2 linked regions of the Nothobranchius furzeri genome follow. The protein of the gene in region 2 purifies or fractionates together with the protein of the main gene of each other region. This does not show direct contact. Links are inferred from orthologs where the notes say so. Each region holds a gene or a part of one and is shown on either strand. Other genes may lie near its edges.

What was found. The genes of interacting proteins can lie anywhere in the genome.
Region 1: the proteins of retreg1 (region 2) and microtubule-associated proteins 1A/1B light chain 3A purify together in Homo sapiens (affinity purification with western blotting; 3 studies listed by BioGRID and IntAct, with this or other methods). This does not show direct contact. The link is inferred for Nothobranchius furzeri from reciprocal best matches to the Homo sapiens genes RETREG1 and MAP1LC3A.

The regions. Positions count from the first base shown.
Region 1 is NC_091743.1:78,250,653-78,254,900, forward strand, and holds the start of microtubule-associated proteins 1A/1B light chain 3A, read right to left. Parts: upstream 2,811-4,248; 5' UTR 2,808-2,810; coding exon 2,642-2,807; intron 1,292-2,641; coding exon 1,236-1,291; intron 1-1,235. UniProt on the Homo sapiens protein: Ubiquitin-like modifier involved in formation of autophagosomal vacuoles (autophagosomes). While LC3s are involved in elongation of the phagophore membrane, the GABARAP/GATE-16 subfamily is essential for a later stage in autophagosome maturation.
Region 2 is NC_091751.1:36,444,790-36,448,768, reverse strand, and holds the start of retreg1 (reticulophagy regulator 1), read right to left. Parts: upstream 2,804-3,979; 5' UTR 2,740-2,803; coding exon 2,534-2,739; intron 2,503-2,533; exon of another isoform or gene 2,425-2,502; coding exon of another isoform or gene 2,363-2,424; intron 1,897-2,362; coding exon 1,790-1,896; intron 393-1,789; coding exon 362-392; intron 1-361. UniProt on the Homo sapiens protein: Endoplasmic reticulum (ER)-anchored autophagy regulator which mediates ER delivery into lysosomes through sequestration into autophagosomes.

The sequences.
Region 1 (4,248 bases), on a different chromosome or scaffold from region 2:
CCTTTCCTTTTAGGGTTGGATTACTTGATTTTAATGGATTTAGTTTTTATTTTTGATTGTTTTTATTGTGTGTTTTGTTCAGCACTTTGGTCGGCTCTCATGCCGTGTTTAAATGTGCTATATAAATAAAATTGGTATGGTATGGTATGGTAAATAATCCGATGATTAAATGGTAAATAGCCTGTATCTGTATAGTGCCTTAGGGTTCTACAACCCCCCAAGGCGCTTCACAACACAGTCATTCACCCATTCATACGCTGGTGGTGATGAACTACATCGTAGCTAAAGCTGCCCTGGGGCGCACTGACAGAGGCGAGGCTGCTGAACACAGGCGCCACCGGTCCCTCCGACCACCTCCAGCAAGGCGAGTTAAGTGTGTTGCCCAAGGACACAATGACAGAATTCTCTGGTCTGAGCCGGGATTGAACCTGCAACCTTCCGATTACTGGACAACCCACTCTACCTCCTGAGCTGCTGCTGTCCCTTACATCCAAGCACAAACCCACAGAGGACACAGCTAAAGTTCAGAGTCAAAATGGCCGAACGTCCATTAACATGAGGCCTTTCCTAGAGCTAGCTTGTAGCTCTGGTGCTCAATAATTATTCATAATTTCAAGCATTTAATTACAGTCAAAGAGTTATAAAATAACTCACCCCCTCAGAGTTGTCATAAATGTTAGAAAGATCAGTCAAACCTAGAATGGCTTTTTGAACCAGGCTGTAAATGTGTTTATTTATGCTGTGAAACTGGCTTTTTTAACATGGGAGTCAAAGGGAACTTGCTCTGTTTTGGTACTAGCCCCTAGCGGATGAGGGTGGAACTGTAATTTTTGGTACTTCCATGCTGGAGCAAAGCCAGCGGCCTTGATCCCTTGGTACCGACGCACACTCAGAAGCATAAGCTCGGCTTAAATAGCGCCAGATACATGGCTATAACCAAGCAGCTGGCGGTCTCTGTTTTAGTTCAGATAGTCCTCGTGGGCATGAATGTTCCGTCTAAGAGAAGAGCAAAACACTTTGCTTCCCTTCTCAGTTATCCAGCATCAATTAACAGAGGCTGCCTGTGAGGTTCACTTGAATTAAAGAGAACTGAATCCACCTGAGCATAGTCGGTGGAACCGACAGATCCTTGAGTGCACAGATGCACTTTGTTAGGCAGGCATTTATCAGGAAGGCATCGATGTTCTAAACTCGCTTTGTGGACTACCCCCCAGGTTCGTGCGTGTGCAGCTTACAGGGATCTTGTTTGGGTGCTGCTCTCGGATCTGCTGGACCTCTTTGCATCGATCAGCTGTCGACAAAACAAATAGACAGCATGATGAGATTAGGAAGTTTACAGCAACAAGAGAAGATGTGTTTTGGATTGGTGGCCATATTGCAGCCATTTTGGATGGTAGGCTTTCGACTCCGTGTGTCACTGCAGATGGCTGCTTATGCTGATCCAGGATCCTCTGGAGGTTTCTTCCTGTGAAGTCTCTGACACAAGTCAGTGACTCGATGCAACCTGCTGGGTTACTTATATAGGAAACTTTTTACTGATTGCATTAATGAACTGAACTATTGGAATGTTTACTTTGAGAAGCGCCTTAAGAGGACTTGTCGGGATTTGGCGCTTTATAAATAAACGGAATTATAGATAGGGTGAGAAGCTCAGTCATCCGGGAGGAGCTCGGACTAGACCCGCCTCTCCTCCACATCGAGAGGAGCCGGTTGAAGTGGCCCGGGCTTCTAGTTGGGGTGCCTCCTGGACGCCTCCCTGGTGAGGTTATCCAGGCACATCCAACTGGGAGAAGACCTAAAGGAAGACCCAGGACACACTGAGGGGACTATGTTTCTCAGCTGGCCAGGGAACGCCTTGGGATTCCCCGGAGAAGCTGGCCCAAGTGGCTGGGGAGAGGGAAGTCTGGGCTCCCTGCTTAGGCTGCTGCCCCCCATGACCAGATTCCAGATAAACGGAAGAGGATGGATGAAACTCATTTCTAAATGAAACCATCATAACCACGTTCTGGACCTTAGCATGGGTGTCAAACTCTGGTCCTCAAGGCCCACTATCCCACATGTTTTAGTGTTTTCCCAGTTTCAACACACCTGATTTCAAGCTTGGGCCTCCCTGCTTAGACTACTGCCTCGCGACCTGATCCCGCGATATATTTGCATCAACCAAAATAATCGTGGTTATCATTTTCGCCATTGGCCGGATGGGTCTCTTCCTGATGACATCATCCTGTGGTTCCAGTCAGAGATGTTAGGGTGTTCCAGGTGAAACTCCAGTTTTAGAGCTTTCTATCAACCCGTTCCAGGTGTTCATCTACATAGTTCTCACCTTGCTTTGATATTCATGTTTCTGACACTGACAGCTGGTCCGTTCAGGTGAGCGGGTCACTGCCAGACTCCTCCCCTCCTGTCAGGTGACCGATTTAATCAGAGAATACGTGTAGGGGTCATGTTTCAGCACAACTTGTTGTTTTGGCCTCGCGGTGGGTCACGGAGCTGATCCGGTTGTGTAAAGGCTGCGGCGTCACATTGACCCCGTTTACCGTGAAGCTACAGACCGACCATCAACACATGTAAACACGTTAAATCCGGTGTGAACCTACGCATTGAAACGCACTAACGCTAGCTGTAGACAGCACCGTCTTACCGAACGTTCTCCGCTGCTTGAACGGTCGGTCCGACGGCATCCCGGCAGCGGCTTCAGGCGAAAGAAGGTGATGAAAACGGCCCTGGGAGGGTTTCAGATGGCTCGGTCTGAAGCTCCGCAGCAGCTCCGTACAAACAAAGCCAGTAATCTGACGCGCTGACGTCATCCGCTGCCTTATGGAGGTGAGTGAGGCAAGCCAAGTTGTCATTTAATATTCAGAAAAGTTATTCAGTTCCTGTCAGTAAAATTGAGGCCGTCTCTGGATCAGATCTCTGATTTTTATCTGATTTGGTGCTAAATACTGATAAGGTCATGGTAGTGGGGGATTTTAACATTCATGTGGACATTGAAAATGATAGCCTCAGTGTAGCCTTTAGTAATATACTGGTTTTACCCAAAGAATGCATAGCTCCACCCACTCCTGGCATCATACATTAAACCTTGTGCTGATTTATGGCATAGAGTGTGAGGAAAATAACGATATTTCCACATAATCCAGTCCTCTCGGACCACTTTTTGATCACCTTTGAGTTTTTTTATAACTGAGTTCTAGAGACATGAAAGTAAATTTCACTATAGTCTGTCTTTATCTGACAAGGCTGTTGCATCTTTTAAATCAATTATTCCATCTTTACTGTCCTCAGCATCTCAGAGGACTGTAGCAGAGGGCAATATTTTCATTTCTAGCCCCTCACAAATTGATGATTTAGTTCATAATGTTACTTCTTTACGTGTGGCATTAGATGATGTTGCCCCTTTAAAAAAGGTAATTAAGCACAGGAAGTTGGCTCCCTGGTTTAATTCTGATTTACAAACTTTAAAACAAAACTCTAGAAAATTGGAAAGAACATGGCGCTCTACAATTCAATTCAAGTTTATTTATAAAGCATCAAATCAGGACCAGAGTCGTCTCAAGGACCTTCACACAGTAAACATTCCAATACAGGTCAGGTCATTAAGCCAATCAGTAAAAAGTTTCCTATTTAAGGAACCCAGCAGGTTGCATCGAGTCACCTCATACTAAGAATGCAGCGACAGTGCAGAGAAAAACTCCCTTTTAACAGGAATTTTGTGTTTCTTAGTAAACATTCTATTTGGTGAGATAAACTTTATTGTATTTATCCTAGTGAATCTATAATTAATCTGGTAAACTAGGAGTAGCACATTCAATGTCAAAGAGAGTAAAATGTTATTGTCAGGAGAGGGAGAAGTGGTTAGCAGCAGTGTGCTAGCCAATGGCCCCCTCCATGAGGCCACTACAGCTCAGCAGAACATCATTGTAGCTTCTTCTGGGGAGGAAAACACTTAAGAGTAAAAATAAAGTTAACAGCTGAAATAGCAGGAAATAATGCAGTTAAAGAGCAGATTGTAGAAGAAAGTAGTAGAGTGTGGAAAGTGGTCAGTATGTCCTCCAGCATTCTAAGCCTATAGCAGCATATCTACAGAGATAACTCTGGATAACCTAGCCTAGTCTTAAAAGTAGAGACGGTGTCTGCCTCACGGACTAAAGCTGGGAGCTGGTTCCACAAGAGAGGAGCCTGATAGCTAAAATATCTGCCTCCCATCCTATTTTTAGATATTCTGGGAACCACCAGTAAACCTGCACT
Region 2 (3,979 bases):
CTTTTTAAATACTTTAATTATGTAATACTATTTAAATGTATAGTAAGTGACTTTATTTTACTTTTACTTTGTAAAAACAAAACAGTGATTTCATGTTTAAGAGTTTCTGTTATGTTGGCTGAAAGCTCCACCCACTTACCTTCACACAGTGCTGGTGCTTTTTAGGCCTAAACAATTATTACAAATAAAAATACTAAATGCAAGAAAAACACCTGCTGCAAATGCTGCTGCTATGAAATTGTCCGTTTTGGTTTTAACTTCCTGCATTACCCTCATCTTATAGTTTCTAAGTACTGTGCGTGTGAAATATTACAAAAGTAATAGTACCTTTTATCGAGCAGCTCTACCTTTAGGGTCTTACCTTGTTGTCATGCTGCGCCATAAACGAGCTCCTGTCAAGAGAAAACAAATGAACTATTCATCATTGTTATAATAAAACAGTAAAGTAACCCAGTTGAAGAGTAATTTAGATTAAATTAACAAAAACTGAGTAAATTGTGTTCCAGTTTGTGTCATGGTCTGCGTCTGCCCCCTCCTTTTTGTGTCTCCTGATGTTTCTCCAGCCTCTCTAGTTTCCCTTCTGTGTCTCATAGCGCCCTCATGTGTCCTTTGTCTGCGTCTCAATATTGTGTCTTCTGTTTGTAGGCATTTTTATCATTCCCTCAGGTCCGGTGTTCATTTAGTAATCCTGTGTCCCTCCAGTTACTGTGTGTGTGTGTGTATGTGTGAGTTATTTATGTCTGTGTGTGTGTGTGTGTGTGTGTGTGTGTGTTAGTCCTTCCCGCAGCCTTTTAGTTTGGATTCGTAGTTTTAGGTTTATCTGTCCTCCTTTGGTTCTGTTTCCCCATTTAGATAATTATTGCCACCTGCCTCCCCTCCAGCCCTCACTCCACACACCTGCTTCCTGTTCCCTTAATTACTCCTCCCTGTTATTTAAGCCCTGTCTTGTCTTTGTCTTGTGTCGGTCCATTGTTGTTATTCTGTCAGTCTTCTCGTGTTGTCTCTAGTGTTTTGATCTCTGCACAGCTCTTTTGGATATTTATTGGTTTTTTGGGTCCAGCCCATTTGGATATATTTTTGTTTCATTCATCCTAATAAAATGATTTTACTTTATATCATCTCCTGCCTTGTGTCATCTTGGGTTCCTGCATTTTGGGTCCTACCAACACTGAAACGTGACAGTTTGGGGAATTTTTTGTCTTGTATTATTGGATTAGGCATCAGATTTCTCATCATTTAGCAGCTGCCTGAATAAAACCTCCATGTTTTGTGGTATTTATCGTATTTTATAGTAAAACCCAATCTGCTTCATCTTTCATGTAGAAATTAGGAAGTGTGAGAAAATTAAGGTGAGATCTGACGACTTGTTTCTTCTGGAGGTCATGACCCAGGTAGGTCACATCTTCAGCTGATGATCTCACTTTGAAGGATTCAGGGGACAGTTATGAGCTGCAGAATGAGCCCAAATCATCAGTCCTCCTATATGTATATGTCGATGGTCCTCCCCCACCATGCTAGAACAGCCTGTTTGTTCTAATGACTGTTGCTATGTACCGCTGTGCATTATGGGTAAGCATCTCCACATTCATTTCTTATTTCCAACCCAATTCCAGGTGCCTTGCCAGTCATTCAGGTGTAACTTCTCAAACCTAACCTTTACTTTAGGATGTTTTATAATTCAACATTAACATTAATTGTTGACATTTTTATATATAATTTTGTTTATTGTCGCAGAAACAGAAGATTTTGTTAAATTGGCTCCTTCACGAGAAAGGTGTTTACGTGTTACCTGTGGATCTGGTCCGAATCACGTCTCTGACTGTTACCATGGCAACCAGCAGAGCCAGCAGGATGGCCAGGAGGCTGAAGACTCGCAGAGAGCTGAAGGCAACAAACCTGCAGACATAAAGGTTTACCTGTTAGAAGCCAATTGCATTTATAATGGGAAACATCAAAGTGTCACGTGAAGCAGAACAAGTTTATTTTTGCATGAAAACAGACATTTTCCCAATGAAACTAAAAAAATTCTTCATTATTTTATTAAGAAATAAATAAAAAAGGATTTATTGTTACACAGAGTTTTTATGTCCTGGAAGTTATTTTATCTGTGAATTTAAATTTAGTAAATAACTAAATCTGAGCAAATAAACCAAAGCAAGTTATCATAAATTTATTTTGATTTCTTAGTTTGAACTAAATCAGATCCTTTTGCTGATTTCACTTTAGGTTTTTTTTCTTCTTCCGGAAATCATCATGATGCAAGGTTTAATCCTTGTTGTTGTTATGACACTAGTCTCTTGTCAAGCTGTGCAGTTCATAAAATAAAATAAGTCTCAAAATCAATTACATTACATTCATCCACCTGAGAGGTAATGTTAGTATTCTTCTTCTTCTTCTTCTTCTCATTTTTCTTCTTCTTCTCATTTTTCTTCTTCTTCTTCTTCTTCTTCTTCTTCTTCTTCTTATTATTATTATTATTATTATTATTATTATTAGACTGCGGCTGAGCATATCCCTGCGTCATGATGCCTACCACATCACCGTGTTGGCTGCAGCAAACAAGGCTGAAGTCCTGCACAGGTTCTGCTTCCAGCTGACCAGGCCGGTGAGATGAATCCCTGCTCGGCCGGAAGGTGTACTCTCCTCGGGCGGAGCCCGGCTTGGTGGCACCGGTGGTCCCCGCGACCCGGCTGACGCCTCCCCGCCGCCGGACGTACCTGCTTCCCGGCTCTTCAGCATGACTAAACCCTTCGCCGCTCCCCACCTCTAGCAGAAATAAGGCTCCATCAATTATCATCTTTTCCGGTTTGGTATTTTCAAAATAAAGCACACACTATATCACGTCACAAATCTGGGCTTCAGTCCCTCTGAAGTGGTTTTGACCAAAAATAAATAATACGAAATAATACAGCTATTTCTCTGCTATGGCAGAACTCAAATCAGCAGTTTAACTGTTAGGATTTATTGTACTCCAAAACCATTGTTTTTCTATTGTTGCAAGAGAACTTAGTTATGCATAAGAACAAATTTGTTTAAGTCATAAAAACAGATGGTCTGATGCAGTTCTGAGTTACTTTTTGTTTTTTACAAATTGGGAAAAGCAGGTTTTGCTGTTTTAATCACTTCTTGATGAACACTTTATAACTTGAATTACCTGTTAGGACTCAAACTCAACCTGGCATGTTAATGCCTCAAATTATTAAAAGATGCAAAACAATACTTCATTATTTGAATGTTCTCAAGGTTAAAGTGTTTATTTTGAGTGTCAAGTAAATTCTGTGTCTCAGCAAAAGAGATAAATAGTTAGAGATGTCCCTTTAGAAGCTCATTCAGGACATTTAGGAGTTTAAATGAATGGGTCTTGTGAACACTTGAGGGAAAAAAACAACAGAAAAAATGTTGACCCATTTTTTTTAACGCTGCCTGAACCGTTCTGACTGTGAATCAAGATGAGACCTTGTTGCCAAGCTGTGGTTTCCAACAATGTCCTGCTCTACTTTGTGCTGCCAGACTAGCTTCCTCACCACCAGGTCACCATCACAGAGTCAAACTTCCAGGAGGTTTATGGCTGATTCAAGAGAGAAAATATCAAAACTTTTGCTTTAAACTAAAATAAAGACTCGTTTTAGCAAGGACTTGTTGATTTTTGCCAAAATAATCAAATACATAAATTATAAGCAACTAGTTAAACATCTCTTATAGGAAACAATGCTTTCAGTTGACTGTGTTTGATACTTGTGCCTGTTTAATCTTTAAATCCTGTCCTGAGTCAGCCTTCACCCTCTGCAGCGACAGTCCTCCTTTAGGGGGGACATGACATGTAGGAAGTTGCAGATTCTGTAGAAGTTTAGTTTTGTTTGTAGTCCCGAGCAAAGAAGGGAAAATAAGAGTCATTCCAGTCCGTTGCATTGTAAAGAGAAAATATGACATTTAAAGCTATGTCTTCAGAAGAAAACTCATCTGAGGATTTATTGGCAGA